2 linked regions of the Lepisosteus oculatus genome follow. The protein of the gene in region 2 purifies or fractionates together with the protein of the main gene of each other region. This does not show direct contact. Links are inferred from orthologs where the notes say so. Each region holds a gene or a part of one and is shown on either strand. Other genes may lie near its edges.

Region 1 (10,716 bases), on a different chromosome or scaffold from region 2:
GTCTGGTGAGCTGAGCTGTGTCAGTTCGTATGTTAAATATTTAACCACAGCTGCTTCTAAACAGCACAATAGTCCATCTAATTAGTCTGCAGTGTTCTCCAACAAAAAATATTAAAAGGCATCACACCTTTAGAGGAGCTGTGAATGCTGTTCCTAAGATCACGCACAAATAAAAAAAAAACTACACAGAAAAACAAAGGCAACAAATGATGATCCAATATCAAGTGTATTTGACTTTCTTTATCACACAGCAGGGTCTTTGAGAATAAGCAAGACTTTCACGTATCCCTTCAATGTGGGCAACGCTGAAAAAAAGTGGCCTTTCCTCAATGAAAATAGAAATTCCAATAAAATAATCTGTAAACCCGTCAGATAACCGTGGCTTTAAAGGAGAAACAAACTTTAGGAATAAAATTGAATTGGGACAAACAGACTTGTCATTTCACAGATGCAGATGGGACATTAACTCCCCCAGTTATGCCCCTGCACTAAGACTCGAATGTAGGATATATAACACAGTGCCACAGGACCCTTAACCTGATTCCTTAACCCCTGTAACAAAATAACTCCAATGACTTCTGGCCTAGAACAGAAGCCCCACTCCTCTTGCTGTGGGAATTTGGAATTCCTGTTTGTAAACATTTACATTTTGTTTGTATGACAGACCACCGAGTGCTCTGCCACCATCACACCCCCTAGTACTCATTTCCCAAAAGCAGAAGTAGTGAGGGGGAGAGGAGGGGAGAGGGGAGATGAGATGGGGGGGTGTTGTGGGGGGGGGAGGGAGTCAGTGAATGTGAACCATTGTTAGAGCATATTATGTTTCGACCACAATACTCCTATCCCTGCTTCATCAACTCCATTCAAGTGTAACAGTTCATGCAAATGAATGTGCTTGCCTTTCATTAGAAAGGGGAGGGGGGGGGGGTCTTTATTTGATTGGTTTTATTTTGGGGAGGAGGGAAAAGCACTCTGCCCTGATCCCACTACCCACCCCTGTTCACAGACTTAATCCCCCTCTAACCCTGCAGATACAATTGGACTTCTGTCCTCAAGCTGGTAGCAGAGAGCTCAATGTAAAAGTCAGGGTTACATGGGCAACAAAGCAGTTAGAAGCTAAATAGATGTGAAGATGTGAGGGAGAAGTCCCATACTATGTGTTTGTGTTGTGTGCTGGGATGTGAAGTACAGCCAAGAATTCCACGGCCAACATACACGACACTGTTTATCCGGGTATCTCCCATTCCAAATGAAACAAAAGCATTCTCAAAGAAATTAGCATTGCAAACTAGAAAATGTTGATTGTGTGAATACACTGAACACAAGAAAGATGCTAGGTATTGCTTCTGCTTTAAGAAAAAACTTATCTTTAGCCACACTTGGACAGAAACTGACCACAAGTTATTACTCACACTTTTTCTGAAGCGCAGTTAGATTATCAGAGAGTATATGTGCCTGCTGATCTGTACCACAGTCGCTGCTATAGAAACCGCTGAAGTGAACTGTACAAAACAGTCAGAAAACACTCAGAGCGCAATTTCCTTGGCCCTGAAAGTGGTCACTTTGCAAAATAAAAACAAACCTCTTTCTCAGAACATAATCAGGGGGCCCTACTCCCACCCCCCAGGCCTTCTCTTCAGAGAATACAATAATAAAACCAGAACAGTTATGTTTTCTTATCGTAGACTTCCAAAACAGACATGGTAATCCTTAAAAATATAAGACACAGTGGTCCTAGTGTTGCAGGTAGCTAAAAAACCTGAACTTTTGAAAAGCATATGCTTCTCATTCTGAGAAAGTTCTTCATTCTGTCTCTTAAATGTGATATTTGATTCTTTCAAATGTGTAGCTAATTAAATGCAGACACATATCTTGTTTGGCTTACATATGTCAGATACTGTGAAGTATGCAAAAGAAATAAAAAGTAAATATGTTGTTCTTTTATCGTCGCCTTAGTGGACTGTTTTGGCATTTAAAAAAAAAATCAGCTTACACATACAGAAACTTTTAAGGACATTAATGGTGTTTTATGTCTTCTGTAAGTTTTTAAAACATTTTTTGTGGCTGAAACATTGACGTTTTATTTTCCCCTCGGACAATAGAGAGAACACAATAAAATGAGAAAATCACGGGATTCTGGGATTCTACAGTCAAATAGAGGGTTATGTGGGGCAAATAACCTCTGTGAGCTATCTATTCACCACGTTGTGTTAAACTAACACCGAGGTTCAGGACTTTCACCGAGCCCTCGTGGCAGACACAACATTTGGCATCTTTCCCACCAAAAAGCACCGCTGTTGACCACCCTCCGTGAATCCAACCTTTGCTAAGTAGCACATCATTAAGCGGGGATGGGCCCGTCATTAAAAACACATTCACCTCCGAATACCTGAGATTCCGATGTTAAACATTTTCACATTTTCAAAACATCGCAAAAGGGCGAAAGGCAATGCAGAACTCGGAGAAGAGGGAGAGGAGTAAGCGGGCAACAGTAGCACCTTGCAGAGGGAGGGTGAAAGTGGTATTTTTTCCATGCGAAGCGTTTTCAATGAAAATCTCCGTTGGTGTTCCTGATATAACATAACCAGCTGTCAATCCTCTTATCTCTTGAAATCTATGGAAAACCCAAACAAACTGTGCTTCAAGAAGAATCAAACTCTGATTATTATTAAAGGCTACTATTAGAATACATTCATTAATGCATACTTCTTCATATCAGATAGGCGTCTGTGTTTACCGCGGATTTGAACACTCTAAGAATACGAATGCGCATAAGAAGACTTTCACACCTACTAAGACAGGCTACTACACAAGCAAATAATGGCTTTATAACCGTAAAGGCGTTTAGTTATTCTTCGTAGCTAATTAGTAGCCATATGTTAACTTTAAATTAGGTCATTTCAGTTGTCGCCCGAATCTTACTGCTTCATCCGTTTCCCATTGAAACGTCATGAATGGTTACATAGTACGCATTTGTTTTTCAATGTTTTGGATTTTCAGTACCTAACAAAAAACAAAAATACTCAAAGTGACAACTGTTTGTTACATTTGATAATGAACTTCACCACAGCTTGCGCCAGCACACACTTTTAATGTTGTCAAGTGACCGCGCTAGGTGTTACGGTGTCCCGCAAAAACAACATCCCGACTCGCACCCGTCCCGGTGGCCAACGGCGAAATATCTTTTTTGCACAAATGACGAGAAATGATTTAAGCCCCCATGGTTTGATTCTTCTCGGCTAAAGCGACGAACACAGCACATCGGACCCATGCACTACGCGAGGAACGTGGAAGCCTCCGACGAGAAAAAAAAAGTAATACATTCCGTCTAGCAGGAAGAGCTGAAGTTCTGCACTGCGGTGCAGTATTGTTATTTAGTTAGGAACATTTCTTGATACGACTAAAAAAGCATTAGTCACATACATTTCGTGAATTAAGCTTCAGGTGAACATTTCGGCGCACTCGATCGGTATAATCGGACCAAGCTGTCCCGTAAACCCCGTACGGCTCCATGCACACCAACACGCAGCTCCCTGTCACAGCCCTTCAGTGCAAAAGGTCCGAGCATTTAACACGCCGAAACTTACCCTTGAGGCTTTCCTCTTGTATTTGTTCGCGAAGTCGAATTTCTCTTTAATTTCGTCTAAAAGCTGCCCGAGGCGCGCCTTCTCCTCTTTGCCCGTGTAATCCTGGCTGAGGAGGATGTATGCCCTCCAATTGGCGGAGTCGAAACCCCAGTGGCATGTCCTGTTTTCCAAGGATTTGTGACTGTGGACCACGAACTTGTGGGTCGGGTACATGAGCCTACAGTCCATGCACTGTATACAGGCTGCGTTCGGGCTCGTGTACAGCTCGGGCACGAAAAGTCCCCTGCACTTCCCGAAGCACTCGTGGTATACCTTGAAGCTTTTCTCCGTCAGCTCCAGCTCCAGGGAGCCGGAGAACTCCTTTTTGCAGTGCGGTGGAAAGGTACCCCCGTAAATCAGGGCATTACAGAGGCGCTCCGCATCCGTTTTGGTGATGAGGCCGCACGAAGGTGCCGAGAAGGGCAAAATCCCCATGACTTTAAGAATCTCCAGCTGGTCCGCCGTGCACCTGGAGCAGTAGATGTGGAGCTCGTCACACACGGAGTTGATCTGCTGAAGGGAGAAATCTCGCAGGACGGTGTTGAGGATCTGGGGCAGACAGAGCCGCTTCTCTCCGCCGACTACGAAACAAGAGATAGTCTCACTCTCCAGGACCGTCTCGCACCTTTCCGTGGAGCGGTCTGACGGGATGAAGAGGGGACCCGGCATCACAGGGGGCGGCTGCATAGGGAGATGAAGGACCGGCTCTGGGTCCTTGCCATCTTTCTTGTACAGCATATCCTGTTGCCATCTAGCTGAGAAGGCTGCCGGGCCGCCGAGAGAGCTCATAGAACTCAGATGAAACTGCTTCAGAGTTTGTTGCAGTCCTGGATGAGGTTGAAAGCTTGGTCGGGTTACAGTCTCCATGTTTTACTTACTACTTGAAAAGCGAAACTTCCTTTTGCCGGGGTAGAACTAAAGCAATAGATAACCCACACTGGTCCCGGTTCCTTGTAAATCCAAGGTCTCCCAGAGTTAGCAGAGGTGAAAAGGCGCTTCATCAAACATCCAGAAAGAAGTCCTACACAGTGCGCGTCCAATCCCCCGACTAAGCGTACGGTAACACCGGCGAGTCTTCCCCTGCAGTAGTAGGTTCCCTACTGTCCATATCCACACCAGTGCTTCTTTCTCAATCCACAATAAAGAAAAAAATAAGCGCCTCTCGCTTCCACAAAAAGTATCCACCTATACTTCTGAACTTTGTTTTTCAGAATTTCCCAAAACTGTAAAGTCCGTACACTCTTTGCCTCTCTTTTTCGTTTCTGTTTTGCAGTGGTAGAATTCACATCCACACTGTCTGCCCTTGCAGTAATGATATGCCTGTGCAACTACAGCCAGCCAGCCAACCTAGCTAGGCTTGCTTGCTCACTCTCTCTCTCTCTCCCTCTCCCTCGCAGCCCCCCTTTCTCAGTGTTTGTGTGTGTCTGGCTCAGTCATTGAATCCCAGCCAAGTATGTGACTGACTCCCCAGGCTGGCTCTTCCAAGAACATGTCGTCACTCCCCCTCTTCTCTTCTCAGCCCCGTGCTGCTGCAAAAGGAAGGAAAAAAAAGAGACTTGAGCACAGGGCATGGTGAATCACTTGGTTCACAGCTCAGAATGTCTGCAGCTAAACCGAGAGGAAGGGTGGAGTTTGCAACAGACGTCTAATTTAGACGTTAAGGAGAAATGCAAATTCTACGAGTGACTGCGGTTTATTTATTTTTATTTAAATAGACCAAAGTAGTCCTTTACAAACATTTAGTGACAGAAAGTAAAGCAATAAAGTCTGATGTTTGTCACATACAAGAATTTTATTTTTTTTAAAGTCGTGCTTACATATTTTTTTTCGTTTTGTTTAATCAGTTCCAGTGCTCAGTAGGTTCTATGTTCAAAGCGCTCTTAAACATTAAGGACACACGCGTGTAACGCAGAGGGGGAATCTTGGCCGATTTTTGTTTAATATTTTTTGCACGAGGCTGCTCCACCAATTTTCCACATCTTCTAGGTCTGCTAGTTCTGAACAAACCATTTTATTTAGTTGCAAAGTCCCTTCATGATGATCATGGTAAACTACGGGGGCTCATTTTGATCTTCAGGGCTTCATGAACCCCTGGCTTTTTTCAGACCCCTCGAATCTGAACACAGACCAGACAGTGCAGCAAAACACAAGGCGTATCAGCGTTTTTACATTCAAGGAAAACAGAGATTTTATTTCTGGATGTCTGTGCTTAGTGTGTACTGCAGTCTCAGCATGCACTTGCCCTATCGGACTGTAAACTGCAAATGCATTTGCACTCAAGGCATGTCTAACAATACTTTCCTTGCGGAGATTCTCCTTTGCTCCAGAGATTCTTCCAAAATGCTCCTGCAAAAAGCCACAAATAGAGCCGGAGTTCACAGAAAACCCTGTCTTGCCCCAGAGCTCCTATATGTGGTTGCAGGGAACAGAACTTTTTTGAGGTGGCACACCTTTGACTTCAACTGCCCTGGACTAACCATTCCTGATGACTTCTGATCATCACGGGGGGGCATGGAAATGATTCCCTGATATCAACAGCTGTTGACCATTCCGAAAAGGAGAAAGGATGCCTGCCTTTCTTCAAATCAGAGTGAAGAATGTAACTTAAAACATAAGTCCCCCCACCTACCACAGCACACACACACATACACATGTATCTTCAAGGCCAGCTTAGGAACACACATGGACTCTAAACTTCTGAACCAGAGAATGAAAATGGTGGGTGTTTGCACTTTTATAAGACCAATCCACCCACACATTCCTATTCATCTGAAACCAAGAAGAATTTGTTTGACTAAATACCTCCTAAGTCCTTTAATGGCTTAAAGTTTGGTACAGTTCCTTAAAGAATTCTTTATTTTGGAAAGGGCCTGGTGTTATTGTTATCATGCTCCTCGTTCTTTTTTTTTTTTAAATTGAGTTCTCTGTTATTGTTCTTGCTTCTTTTATTGTGTCTCATGGCCCTCCCCAAGTAGAGTTATGAACACCATAGCTAAGGCAGTCACAATGTACATTGATATGTGTCGCCTTTTCTTACCCGTCCAGTTTTACGAGTTACACAAAAAGGGGGTCACAGCAAGCATGGTCAAATAAAGCCTTAGAGCTGAAAGGTTTTAAAACCTGGATTTTGTCAAAGACACACTCGACTACCTGGGTGGACTGGGTGATGGATCGTGTTCATGAACTGCCCCAGAACAACTTGATTCAGGAGTTGCCCTTCCTGATGTGCTGATTATTGCAGTGGGGGGCTAATCTTATAATTAAATAGCATTTCTAGTGCTGTTTCATTTAAAGGATATGATTACACAAAAATACAAAACCGTGTCATCTCAGGATTTTTTCTTGGTTTTTAGGTATACCTTTATCACTTGAAAAGATTTTTATGCAATTAACAAGTGCTGCTATTTCTCAGATGAATGTAATCAATTTCAAAACTTTATGTGATAGTAATACATTAGAGTACATGTTCTGAGCTTTATTAAATCTACAATGTACAATTAAGGGAAATAATTAATACTGAACACATTCACACTTATAGCCTATTTTGTGCATGTGTTACCAAAAAAAACATGTAGAACATTTCTTTCAATTAATATTTTTAATGAAATAAAAGTGTTAAAGAGTTTGTAAGAAAAGTATTACCTTTTAATTAGATTTTAAAGCTTCACAACAACAAAACCATAAAAATGTCTGAGAAAAAATGCATTCCAATTTCCTCTATGCAGTGAAATCATTCCTTTCAGCCAGTTACACTGGAAATATGTCCAATTGTCAGAGACAATAAGTGGGATTGAGAAGCTAAACTGATTATTCTGTATCATTAGCTCCCTCTAGCAGGACAGTGATGTAATTGCACTGTCTGTGGCACTGGGACAGTCATTATGAGGAAATGGGGTCACCATGTCTAGTCAGGAAATACAGAGTGGGAGGAGTATATGGAGACAGATCCATATTGTAGTAGCACAGTAGGTTGATAAGGTACATTTATTTTTTATCAGGAACATTTTGTTGAGCTTCAAATGAAAATGCGCCTGTATAAATTCAAGTCATGTTTTGCCAGATTTGTCTTTTTCGGATATTTCAGGTGACACTGCTAAGCACTGCGCCATCATGCTGCCCCAAAATGAATATTAGTATTATTGATTTTTGTTACGATTGTACTGTTTTCACACATCCATATATAAATGATTGAGATAGCACATTTTATTGGGCGAAATAGTACATATTTCAGCTAAAGATTCTCATGACATTGTTTCTCATAACAAGATGTAAGTCACCACATGTTAATTTGTTCCTTCATTTAGTGATTACAATGTGCTTGAAAATGGTATTTTTATTAACATTGCACATGGAAGGCAACAGCAATAAAAACAAGCTTTGCAACCTCGTGGAATTTTTCATTTCATAAAGTGTACATTATTATGAAAATACTAAGAGAGACATACCCAGCAGAACACTGGGATTCACAATTCTCACATATCCTTTCACGAAAAGATAAACCCCTAATGGATAAGAAGAGTTAGAATCAGAAAAACCTCTGTTGCTTGGGACCACAACTTCAAACCAACTGGGGGGAAAATCCAAGCTGATATCTGTGGAGACTTCACATCTAAAATCTCGGATGTATTGCTTGATTCACATGAACTCATCACCCGCGAATAATACCCGTCAGCAATTATTATTAAAGGAGTGGGTTTCTTCACAGCGGTATATATATAGTAGGTCCCTGCTGAATGGATTTTATTAAAGAGAAAATAAATCCTGGTCAAAGGAACTATCATATTTTCTTCCTTTGTTCTTTTATCCGATATTTTATTGAAAACATCAAATGGCCTCCAAGCATTGTGTAAAACCGATGCAGAAGTGCTCCCAATTACTTAATAGAGGATAGTTTCTTGAATTGGAGCAAAGGAATAATTTTCCTGATGATAATGGTGATAATATTGTATGTTTCCCAAGGATCTAATGGGTCTTTACAGGCAGAAGAGGACTGTATCCACCACAGAAGTGTAGCTATCCCCTGTTAAATGGCAGCCAATTGACAGAGTTCCAACAAATTTATTAGCCAATTAAATCACATGTGGAAATTTAAGGGGTCGGGAATACAAAGATACTAGTATACGGATATCAAAAGCACCAGCTCTAGGCATTGAAATATCAAAGAACATAAGTTTATTAGTAAGGTTATAAATGAGAGGAGGCCATTTAGCACTTCGTTTCATTTGGTTGATATCAGTTAATTGACCCAAGGATCACTTTTGGGCTTTTCTTTGATGAAGCCACGTTATCAGCTTTGTCAGCCCTTCTGGGTTGCTTTTTCCAAATGTCCATATACAAAACATGTCCTCTATTCTCAGTTTTAAACACACATTCCCTGTGTGTTCCAAATGTTCCACTGTTGATTCTGAAGAAGTCCATTCAGTTTACTTTATCAATGTTTTTGAGAATAAAAATAGGGTTCTCCCATAGTCCACTCTGCTCACCACTAAAATGATGAACTTCTCTTACCCTGTCAGTATAGAACAATCCACACTAGAATACATGGGAATGTATTTGGTTGCACATCTCTGGACTGATTCCCAAGCAGAAATATCCCAGCTCTTCCAATTAATTCTTCTTCATTTAATTAATCATGGCGAAACTTCACCAAATACACCACAAATGTCTAAATACACCACATTGTTGTTTGTATCCATTAAAGCTGTTGTCTGTTGTGAAAACTCTTAACAGGATCTTGTTAAGCAAGATCTTTCTTTAAAAAATCCTGTTTCCTATCTAAAATTCTATTGCAATGAAGACGTTTGATCTAATAGTTTCTGTAACCTTACATCTAATAGAAGTTAAGGCTTATTGGTCTATAATTACTTGATTCAATTTTTATTACTCTTTTTATGCATGGATGCTGTATTAGCAATTTTCCAGTTAATGAATATTATACTATGTCTGTCTCGAGTGACTGTTGGTGTTTTTTTAACAGCAACATCTTTGTTCAGAAGTACAAATTGGGGAATACCATTAATTTCTAGAGAAATATTAAATGAGTGAAGTTCTCATTTTATACATAGTTTATTTCCCTGGCATTGTCTAACGTTGTTTGCTGCAATTGTACTGAAAACTCTCCGCTGCAATATTCTTTTCTATCAGTCTCTTGACCTTTCTACCATTTTAAAGCTGTTTGGAGTTCATTACATTACTTTTCTTTAACCAGATACTGCGATTTTTAATTACTTTATACAGATCTTTCTTTCCCCTTATATTTTTCTTAACTGATTTCGTAATCCATTTGGGTCACTGCTTACAAGACTTTGATTTACATACTAATGAGACGTGTTATGTGCTTCAAGCAGAAATCCTAATGTTGCCATCCATTATCTACTGATTCCTTCCCTAATCCCATCTACTTCTCTAAAAGCTCTGTCTCATTACTTCATAGTCTGCTTACCTGAAATTGTAAACCTTATTTTAGACTTCACCTCTACAGTTTCAAAACATATATCAGAGCAAACAATATTATGGTTAATTGCCAAATGGTTCTTTCATCTCTATTCTCTTTATTTTATCTTGAATGTTTGAAAAGATGAGATCAACTCAGGCAACGTCGTCGAGCAGGGTCTCTGGCCAATTGTGTTATAAAAGCTGTCTTTAGCCATGTCTATCATCCCATTTTCTGCTGTTGTCATCCGTAATGGGCATTCCCAATTTACATGAAGACAATAACAATCTTCCAAGATCACCACATCTCCTGTTCATATATTCTACTATATTAATTATATAAGACAGTATTATAATTGATATTTGAATCTAGTGTTCTACTAACTTTTTCCCTTTGAAAATAAAGAACAGAATTTTATGTGAATCCCCAGGCGCTTGAGGTAAGACATATCATATGTTGTTTAATGTTTCCCCACTGGAGCAGGTAGTAATGCATTTTAAATGGGATTTCATTGCTCACCAGTAGGCGTTAAGTGAATGCTGATTCTGGTATCTGAATGCTGCTAAACAATAGGCTTTTCTAAATCTGTGTGTTTTCTTTTATTAAAACTGAAATAATAAATCTAGGCCAACACTTATTTTTATACATTAATGCCAT
Region 2 (11,066 bases):
CCCCCAGATACCACTCCAGGCCCTTTACAATAAGACGAGTGTACTTACACAGTAATGACTGTTCTGTGGAAGTCATTAAACACTTGGCTGCAAATTTAATTTATGTTATCAGCAACAATGATACTCCCCCTCTCACACAACAGTGTACACATTCCCTGCAGTACCACAGTTCAACACCCCAGACATCAGTGACGAAGAACGAGTTTACCGAAATATTTAGAAAAATATTTTCTGTATTTACACAAAGACTTACTTCCTTTTTCAAGGGAAAAAAAAACAGTCTCCTGCCAGAGGCTTGTGACTTCCTGGCCTGTTCATGTGCTCCAATGACCAAAGCTTAAGCTAATGGGCTCAGATCATACGACTCTGACAAGCTGACCCCCATGCCATCCCCATGTATCATTTTGCACAAGTTCTGAGCTGTAAATCAATTTAGGATCTCCTGCAGGTTGAGGAGGCAGTAATGATGCTCTCTCGCGTGTCTCTGGGGACCGTGCATTACACAGAACTTACAATATTTATAAAGGCTTGATGGTGTCTCCATTAGTCTCAGCACAAATGAGCTTCTCTCTGCCATCAGGCAGAAGCGCAGATGTTAGAAGCATGTTTAAGCCACAGAACTGATTTGCGTTACGCTGCCTCTCCGCCATTTGTCTCACTGCTATGAAAGTGTTTACATGGAGCCTAGCTAAGCAAGCACCAATAACAAGAGCTAAAACTGTAAGCACATCATTATACGACCCTGCAACCCACAACAAGAACATCGGCCGATCCTTTCCAAATCTTCTCTGCACTGTGGGAAAAATAACACATCAACCCCCAAGAACAGGCTGGCGACTGAAACCTGACATTTGCCTCAGCACTGAGGGGAGTCCCCATGACCCATGTAAAGTGTCCAGAAAAGCGCAGTATATAAGTGTAAGGAATTATTATTAGCACTGTTCCACTAGCAATGGGATGGCTGGAGCGAGTCTGTACTCCTAGATGTGGACTGTAGCACTGAAGCAAGGAGGAGGGGAATAGTGGAACCGTCATTCATTCAGCCAAATGGCTCTTCCTGCTGTCTGAGCTCATAAGGTACTGAGGTTAGTTAGGTTAGTGTGTTACCCTCAAAAAGCACCTTCTTCCGAGACCTTTTACAACTGAGCTGTAATGAGTATCCCGATACTGAGGAAAGCCAGGTTTGCCATCCATGACGCTTTACATAATACTACAGTACACTAGCACATCATGCACTCTCAGCACTATAAAACAAATGCAGAACTGACTTCATTTCATGGGCACTTAAGTATACGGATAAAATTTCGCATTAAACCTCTTCCGACTGAATCTGGTCTTAGACCAGCAATAAATCTTGAAGTATCTCTTCCAAAGGAAAAAAAAATGAGGTTATCCTCGAGAGGTGTTAAGACTGTATCGGATAATTTCGACAAATTCCTATTTTTACAAGTAAGCAATTGCGATACTGCCTTTACAGCACGCCAAGAGAAAAACGGAACTTTATGAAACGCTATTTAAAGTATTCTACATACACAAGATCGTAATGGATGCATTGTTGTATAGTTTTGCGAAAATCACAGAAAAAAGGAGTCGACTGTGAACGAAAAAGGGGGCAGAGCACGTGAAACCTTAAAGGTTAACACCTTCCTGAATGAGGGCTGAAATCCTTTTCACATACATCAAAGAGAGGTGTTCACATCTCTAAGGACCTTACATGGACACTGAACACCTCCAGTCTCATCAAGAAGGCACAACAGCGGCTGTACATCCACAGATCCTCACCAACTTCTACAGATGTACGGTGGAGAGCATACTGACCAGCTGCATCACAGTCTGGTACGGCAACTGCACCGCATCCGACCGTAAGGCACTACAGCGAGTGGTCAAAACTGCCCAACACATCATCAGCAGTGTCTTACCATTCATCCAGGAAATCTACAACACCAGGAGTCTGTAAAAAGCCACCAAAATTATGCCTGACCCCACTCACCCCAGTCATAACTTGTTTGTTCCCCTACCATCTGGCAGGAGGTTCCGGTCAATCCAGTCGCACACAACTAGACTCCAAAATAGCTTCTTCCCCAGAGCTGTCAAGTTGGTGACGCCCCCACTCCCTCCCACCATATTATGATCTCTCCTAACATCTTCCTGTACCCACAACCACTGTACTCCTACACCACTACACACACATGTAAGCCGAAATTGTACTGTCCCCTCGATAGCCCAGTAAAACTGTACCGGTCATAATAATATTTAATATTTATTAATTAACCATACTATTATTAACCATACTATTTTTGCACTGTTCCAAAAATTACCTTGCACTGTTTTTGTCCTGTTAGATTTTATGTTTGCGGAATTTTGCACAGTTTTGATTACATGTTATTTATGTTATGTTATTACATGTTACTGTTATTGCTATTGTGTAACTGTCTATTGTCTTATCTTCTGTCCTATTTATATACTGCACCTGAGTGACTAATGAGAAACACTTTTCATTATACTATGCACCTGTGTAAGTTTAATGACAAAGTTTAATTGAAGAGAAACATTTTTGAGCACGCAGAAACGTTCGCAGTATGTAGGAAGGTTCTGCACTCTGGTTTCGGAGTTGACATTCAGAATCCACAGCACCGCCGTGAACTCCGCAATCTGGGCACAAAACCACCTGCAGGCCGCCTTTCCCACACACTCCCCAGAAACTCAACCGGAACAATCTGGAAAATCACTCCAACTGATCACCATCATCAACCCAGAGAGATCACCCTAATAGAAAAGGGGCGAATACAGCAAAGCGCGCAGGTAAACAAAAACTTAAGGGAAGTCAGAAAAACGTAAAATCAATGGTTATTTAATCCTTCAAGGGGTGCTAAAATGATGCAGCGAACGTATCTGAACTATTGGAAAACATAAAAAGGGTCTGCAAGTCTTTTTCCCCCCACAGTGTACCTGCAGATTTGCTTTTACTCCTCGACAGAGAGAGAGCTGCCGCTAAAAAAAAAAAGCGCTCCCAGACGTCAAAGATGTACAGCAAAGAATCAAATCAAACGCAAGGACGAATGCCTGCCCTCTGGGTCATCCGATCTCTCCCCGAAGACAGCGAGATGTGTTCCCGGGTCTTTGTGCGTCCAAGAGCATCCCCGAAGCGTCTCGTGCCGGAGCGGGGACCCCTGCGCTCACACCCAGGCTGGGCGAGATGATCAAAGCCCTTTCCTCTTCGCGATTTCTTTTTTTTTTTCCCCAATTCCAAGTGCCCGGGTTTTGTTTTGTTTTTTAACGATCTTAAACGGCATCGAATTGCACGGACGGCGGCTCCGTGTCCCTTTCACGCGAAGTCCACGAGCGCTTGGAAGCGCGTCCGAGCCCACTCGAGCTCCGGGAAACAGGGCGAGTTCGCCCGGATCCCGACCGGGTAATGACGTCAAGGCACCAAGACGACAATGGAAACGTTCAGACATCGCTTCTGACAGGTCCATACTACACTAAACTAAATCTACAGAGCATTCATAGGAGTCTTCATTTGCTTGTCTGCATTGTCACCCCACCCCACACACACACTTTTTGAAAATGTTCTGAAAGATTTTAATGAGCCGAGAAACTCGTGTGTCAATCCAAATGAAGAATCACCCTTAACCCTTTTACAGTTAGAATGAACTTTTCATCAGCTTGGCTAACAAAATCTAGCTAATCACACATTTGAATACCACAGAACTACCGAAAAAAACATCACCCAAAGACTCAATTCCAGTTTTCAAACGAGGAAAAAGGGGGTGACAACGTTTCGGGCTGTCGTCTAATACAGACCCCAGCACGCTAAATACAGCAAACTAAACCTTTAACGGCAACACATTTCAACATCTGACAACTTCACATAATAACACACGACCGCTGCCCCTGTACCAATACACCAATTTTAAAAGCAGCATGTCGGCTGGCGAACGGCACTTCAAAACAAACGGATGACACGGGTTTAAAACGCAGTTACTGGCAAACCTGAGAATAAAGGTACGAGCTCTCGTTTCAGAGAGAGACAAGCGAAAAACACACATTTATTAACAGGGGTTAAATCTAAAAGCCAACTAAAAAGCAGAATCCACCAAAAAAAAAACAAAGCCACTCACGTTAAACAAAAAAAGAGAGAGAAAAGTTTTCCGCGTCTCCACCGGCCGCCCGTCCGCGGCTCTTCAGCTCCGACACTGGGAAGAGCGAAACTTCTGCCGCCGCGCAGCTCGCGCGCACCGCTGCCTGGATTGATCTCGCGTCCCTGGCGTCAGCGAGTCGAGGACCACCGCACCCTCCGCGCCGCGCTCTGTATCATGCCGCGGGGCTGCGCGGCTAGGGGCCGTCTCAAAATAACCCGCCCCGCTCACCGGGGAAAATTGAGTCCTCTCTACTCCCCCCGTGCCTTCCGTGTGTCAAATAAGAAGAGGATCTCGGTTGCTGTGCAATACTGGGAGACGCGGTTGGTTGTGCTTCGCAGCTGGCTTTTTATTAACTGGACGGGGTACTCGCCGCCCTGACATTTGGTGATTTGAGGAGGACGCTTGGCTGTCAAGTGAGAATCTCTTGCCAGTTAAAAAATGTCCGATTGCGCCGACCTTTTCAACAGAAGTTAGAAAACGTCCTGTAGCTACTAGTGCATATTTTCACAAGAGCATTATACTGTGAACTGGTATCCTATACCGTACAGTGCTACATAGAACACTTTTGCCTGGTTAGAAGCTACTTTATGCATGTAATACAAGCAGAATCGCCGACAGACACGTCTTAATTCATCCTGGAATTATTCGTTTAAAAAAATAATCTTACACTCTGTCCGTCACGCATGTATTGTTGGACAGGGCGCAACATTCGGGCTTCAATACCAATGTTCCTTTCAGCGTGAAACACATCTGGTCTGGTCTTGGGGAAGAAAAAGTCGGTAGTGCTGACTGGTGTGTTATTTGAGCAAGATGTACAGTACATCTCTCAAGAGGCAGAAGACACAGCAGAGGCCTACTATAGTGCCAAGGTGAACGTCTCCAGCCACAGCCTGTCAGCCCCAAAATCAAAGGAAGTTTTAAGTGGGAATGACAGTTCAACCATTTGCATTTGAAGCACCTCTTAGAAATGTTTTAGGAATAGCTCTCTTTAAAACTGGTTAAAATCAGTCAGATAAAACCACTGACCTGCCAACCTGGGCTAACTATTAAAGAGCTGTTTGAATGCATCGGGAATTTTGTGTGTGCTAATTGAAGATACTCCGGATCATAGTGTAGCTCCTGCCCTCTGTGAAGAGAACTGGCTCGCACGGAAATGACTGGATTTTAAAGGCTCTCCTGCTCACACGTGAAGCCCTGCGTGTTTCAATTGAGCGTAATCTGAAATCTTAATCTGAGATTTTACTTAATTGTTGAAGAGGAACATGTTCCAAATCAATCTGTGCTCGTTTCTCCATTCTTTCATTTTACCTCTGATCTCTGTATTACATGGGTAATATTGCACAGAACATTGAATTAAAAACAAATTGTGTTCTTCACGCCTGCAGCGTTAGGAGCATTAGGACATCTGCAAACAAGAGAGGTCATCCAGGCCATTTAGTAGTTGGTAGCTAGTTGATCCAGTTATCTCATCCTGCTGTTTCTTGAGTTTGTGTCTCAGCCCCTGTCTAGGATTCCTCTTCCACCTTTTAACAACTCTTTGTGTAAGGAAGTGTTTACTGTTTCTCAGTCCACCCTAAATGAATTTAGCCTTTTAGCCTCTGATTTTGTATCCATGTCCTTGTTTCACAACTGAACTAAGTAAAAGTAGCCCCCTGAGTTTAACCTATCTCTGCCCTTTAGGCATTTACATGTAAAATAAAATGTACTTTTAATATTTGATACAATGACTGCTACAATCACGTCTACTATTAATGATATCAATGACATCAAATCGAAGCACTGCTCAATGATGCAGTTACTGATAGCTCTCTCACTGTAACTTTTGTGGAGACAGAACACTAATGACCCATTGCAATTAAACTTTTGATCGTATTTTGCTTCATGAACACAGTATATTATCAGATAACGATGTTAAGTAGTTATTATAGATAAGTAACGTACAAACTCCACATAGACAGCACCCCAGGCTGAGAATTGATCCCTGGGCCCCGGCACTGTGAGGCACTGTGAGGCACTGTGAGGCAGCAGCACTAGCCACTGCTCCACCATGCCGCCCACGGGCAGATCATGTTCTGTGTAATTGAGACTGCTGTGGGAATGACTGGCACTTCCAGAGTTTTCTGTGCTCCGAGGTGTGTATTGCTCGCTGAAGTGTTGCATTACTAGAAGATATTTTGAGACATTTCGGAAAAGCAATGTCATTTCCAATGCTGGGCCAATGCCATGTGGCATTCCCAGAAGCTGCAGATCGTAGGCTGGGGTCAGGGAGGTCTCTGACTGCTATGATAAGGCAAGAATAGGAGCTGTGGTAAGGAAACGAGAGCAGACAGAGGGGGAGAAAAGCTGCAGCAGAAAGTTTCCCAGGCAAGAGGAGAAAGGCAACAGTAGCCTCACAGGGATTTGTAGTGGACCTCAGACAGCCTACCCACAGTTCAACAGTGACACCAGACTCAATCTTCGGTTGATAAAGGGTTTAATACTGCTGGTACTGAAGGAGAACCTCTTGAGAACACCATCTGATTCCCTATCTGAAGCACTCTTTCAATGCCTCGGTGGTAGGGATTGTTATGGCTGTAGCTTTCTTTAGTAAGATACTCTATAAGCTTCTTTAAAGCCGAGTGGGACAAGAAGCAGCTACAACCACAGAGAACAGTTAGCAAGACAGCCAAAGGCTGTGCAGCATCATCCCTGGGCTGCTGTCTTGGTTTTCCACAACATCTTGCCCAGTGTTTGTGTGTCAGAAGGGCCCGAGCTCATACATGACCTGCATAGTGTCGCTGTAAAATGGAGGGATTTTAATGTTGTGATGCAGGCCATCCAAGAAAGCAGAGATGCCATAATGGCAGATGGCAAAGGTTTGAGTGCACTCATGAGTGTTAATTTCTGACACCACAGCAAGGTGAAAACCCAGAACTCTCAATGCCCACTAAAGAAATTAATGAAGCTGTCAGCTCACCGAAATCTTCTGCAGGCTTTCACACCCACATGTTTAAAGCTGACAGAACGTGAACTTTGACCACTTTGACCATGAGATCAAGCAGGACAGTATAGGTATCCGAGTTCCTCTCTGCAAATTAAGTTCCCTGCTCAGCCACTAGCACAACCACGACGCTTGTAACAAGCAGTCTGTTTAGCCTGAGTATTGTACCGTGGTATTTCAAGTAATAATAAAATTTAACTTTATATAGCGCCTTCGCAGTAGGTGCAAAAAACGTTTTAAGGATAGCAAATCACAAAATAAGTACGTAAAAGAAAAAGTTTAGAAGTGCATCAGAAGTTAGAAAATGGAGAAGACACAGACACTAATTAAGTTAAAGTCTTTCTGAAAAGAAACGTTTGGAGTCTGGACTGAGACGCACTCAGGGCAGGTGACTCTGATATCCTTGGGGATAGAATTCCAGAGGTTTGGGGAGCAGATTGGAATGTAGTACAATATAAGTATGACAGGGGAAAACCATGTCAATTTTAAGAAGAGAGGAATAGCCCCAAAGGTTGGTTTCTTCTTCCCAACCACACAGCTGTGCACCAGTCCTGCCTCAGCCAAGCCTCCATTCATCAAGCTAAAAGCTGAATCCCCCTTCCACCAGCCGGACCCAGCCGTGAACGCTAGCTTTTTCGTCATCTGAAGACTCGACGTCTGCTGTGTGGTCTGCAGAGGATGAGTGGTGCCCACTGTGGTCTGCTTGAGGGGGGATCCTGAAGAGAGCTGCTTTGCTAGCAGAGCGCTCGTTTGAAGGAGAAGTGGACTGAAGTCACATGTAGCTTTATTTAAAAGGTGATGTAGACTCTGTGTGGTCAGTACCATTTGAAATATCTTGTTCTACTCATTATTTGATCTCCCTAAGACACCGAAATGTGATGTAAAGATTAGTCTCATTTTTAACTCGGCATTAAAACTTCTGTTGCATTAGTTTGGAGGTGCTGCTGTCTCTGTTATCAGTGTACAGTATATGTGTTGTACGTACAGTACAGCTGCAAACGTTTGGCTACCAGGTGTGCTGGCTAGAGAAGAAAACCTCATCTAATGTCTGAAAAAACAAGAGCATTGAGCGTCCTTAAATCCAAAGGGTTTTGAGATGGAAATTGAAAACGTTTTTTACAAAGCAAATTAGACACAACTTTCCCTTCTGGAAATGTTGGATATTAAAAACCGTTTTAGCTGTGTTCCGCAGAATTACAGTTGTATTCAAATCCAAAGGGGCAGTGAAAACAAAACCATTTCACAACATTACAAATGAAAACGGTATTGTTGTCATTAAGGAATAAAAGAAACGTGCAGGTCTACTTCGCTTAAGAGACCGATGTTCGACGTATAGTATTATGCACTATCGGGCTGTCGTGATGCCCGAAGACGTCTCGCTATGTCCGAATACTCGAAAGAAGAGCTACGTTACAGTATAAGCTAACTCATTCATATTGCATCCCAGTGCGTTACAACACTGTGCTCGGGAGCACCGTTAGAACAAGAGGAATTTAGAGAATGTTTCCGATGTGCAATAAAGCCCTTCAAATCCCACATCCTCCAGAACCTTTAAACACGCGCTGTAGAACCGATCTCGAACTTCCAGGCAGCACGTGTAAGGGGGCGTGTAGCCTGTCATTATTGTCCTTATTCAAGACTGACCATGATCACGCTTCTGTTTCGGACAGTTTTTTACACACGAAGTTACACGGTATAACCCAATCCTAGAGCTGTAGTTTAATGACAGGCTGGTCCACTCATTTCCAATCTTCTCTTCGCACTCAGAGGGACGTAGCTGGATCCTCGGACTGAAGGAAGCGTAATTTTTTTACACATCGAAGAAAACCTTTATTATTTTGGGTTTTTTTATGTTCGCAGCTTTCCGTGCTATGTTCATTACGTTACTCTTAAGGAGCTTGGAAACAAACATTAAACAAACCCCCAACGTTTAAGTGTTTATTCTCCAAACCTCCCTGACTTTCATTTTTTATTTTGTTAGAAATTACTCTCTCCACTCACAATGATAACAGCGCTATGAAAATCTCCGTAGCTATTGTTACATTTCAGACCCTGTCATTGGCCGTTGTTGAAACCCCGGCGTGTTCAAGCATTCTTTCTCTCCTATCTTGCCCGCAACATGGACTTGAACGTCGAGCTGTCTCGCTGCCTCTGGGACTAGTTTATCCACGACCCTGTTGCGCCGGCGGAGGAAAACAATCCAGCGTGTGCGCTGTAGCGCGGGTGACGTCACGCGGCTGGCGACAGAATGTCTGAGTGAGGCGCGAGCAGGCTGCACGTGAATGTGAAATCTGGGAAAACAGTGCGAGTCGGGAGCGTGCGGAGAGGGAGGAGGCGGAGAGGCAGCGGCCGCCGCAGCTTAATTTAGACGTTGAATGGCCCTGGGACTGAGGGCTTTCTGCGTGTGTTGATGTGTGGCTGTGTTAACTTTTCTGTTGTGGCTGTATTTTTAAACAGTACTTCATTCAGTCTGCAATGGGAACGTGTCTAGTATCACAAACCCCTTCTCAGACACCGGGTATTGGCAGTTCGCAAAACATTAGCCGCTGTCTGATTTTAATTCCAATTTTTTATTGGACGAGCTCCCTGTGTTTAAATAAACGAGCTGCAAAATGTTACTGTTCTCCAGCATACTAAATTCATACGGCATTTCTAATGGTATCTTGTTCTAAACAGTGAACAAACTTAACTTTAAAATTTAAGGAATCAAACGTTTGAATTAAATTCCTTGAGGTGGTTGTTTTTTGTCTCGGTGGAACTCGACCATACCCTGCCCTAGATAACACAAAATCTGAATAAAGATGATAATATACTTTTTGTGTGACTCTGTCTTTGTTCTCCTTCAAAAGGTGTATACTTCATGTTGTTCACAACGAAAGTGAGTGAGAGCTTTGTTCATTGTACCAGTAAGGTCAATGTGCCCAATGAAGCCTCCAGCTTCACTACCACACCGGACCCCGCTGATCCCAGGTCTGAGGAGAGAATCGAGAAAAGGCTGAGGAGTCCACAAAGGAGGGTTCAGACATCCTCAAAAACATACTAGGAGAAACAGCAGACGTTTATCAGGGCTGTCGAAGATAGGAAAATGGAGAAACTGCTGCCGAACAATGTTGCATTTTGGTTTCTACTTACTGAAGCAAATTGTAGGATATTTGTTAAATGGAGTGATTGCTTCACAGAATTATTTTGAAATGCAGGTGTTTTAACCATAAATCGGAAGACTGACATATGTGAATGAAACATGCATGTGTTGACGCCTAGGTTTTAAACACTGTTATTTAATCTGCAGATAGAGTCCATCTCCTCTCCCTTTGCCCCTGTGGAGCTGCTTCTGCGTAGCTGTCAGAAAACAGCTGTGGGACTCCATCCAGAAGTGGCTCCAGTCCTACTTTCTTGGGTTTGGCCGTGACATTTTGTAATGTTCTGGGGCTACGCCTGTCACATTTGTCACTCACTTTGCCTTGCAGTGATAAATCACCAGGGAGTAATAATATCAGGTAATACTTAGACACTTAAGTAAATTTGGTGCAAAACAATACTCCTGGTTCTCTTTCTGGGTGCTGCTAGTAGGTCTAACTCATTGCAGTAAGGTGTATCCGCTAATACCTATGGTAGAAGAAGCACATTTCCTTAAGATTTTCAAAGAGATCCCATTACAAGTCTACTGTCTTACCCACAGACATCCTGTTTGAAGACTGAGGGAATGCTCTAGTAACACGATTACTGAAACATTTTTTTAATAGTTTGTCGATTAGCTGCAAAATGACCTTAATTTTGGAACATTTCAAGAGTGCCTTTCATTGTTCTGCAGTCATAAAGTTTTACACGTGTAACTTTCTCTCAGTGATATAATATGAACCCTGATAATGCAGTTATAATAAAGGAATAAAATAGTATGTGTTTTTTCTTATCTTTTCTTATTGTTTTTTCCGCTATTTCTGATA

Evidence for each region.
Region 1: the proteins of smad1 (region 2) and skia purify together in Homo sapiens (affinity purification with western blotting, with the first as the bait; 3 studies listed by BioGRID). This does not show direct contact. The link is inferred for Lepisosteus oculatus from reciprocal best matches to the Homo sapiens genes SMAD1 and SKI.

The regions. Positions count from the first base shown.
Region 1 is NC_090720.1:4,149,069-4,159,784, reverse strand, and holds the start of skia (v-ski avian sarcoma viral oncogene homolog a), read right to left. Parts: upstream 5,042-10,716; 5' UTR 4,494-5,041; coding exon 3,588-4,493; intron 1-3,587. UniProt on the Homo sapiens protein: May play a role in terminal differentiation of skeletal muscle cells but not in the determination of cells to the myogenic lineage. Functions as a repressor of TGF-beta signaling.
Region 2 is NC_090696.1:27,165,267-27,176,332, forward strand, and holds the start of smad1 (mothers against decapentaplegic homolog 1), read right to left. Parts: upstream 4,371-11,066; 5' UTR 4,122-4,370; intron 2,028-4,121; exon of another isoform or gene 1,991-2,027; intron 1-1,990. UniProt on the Homo sapiens protein: Transcriptional modulator that plays a role in various cellular processes, including embryonic development, cell differentiation, and tissue homeostasis.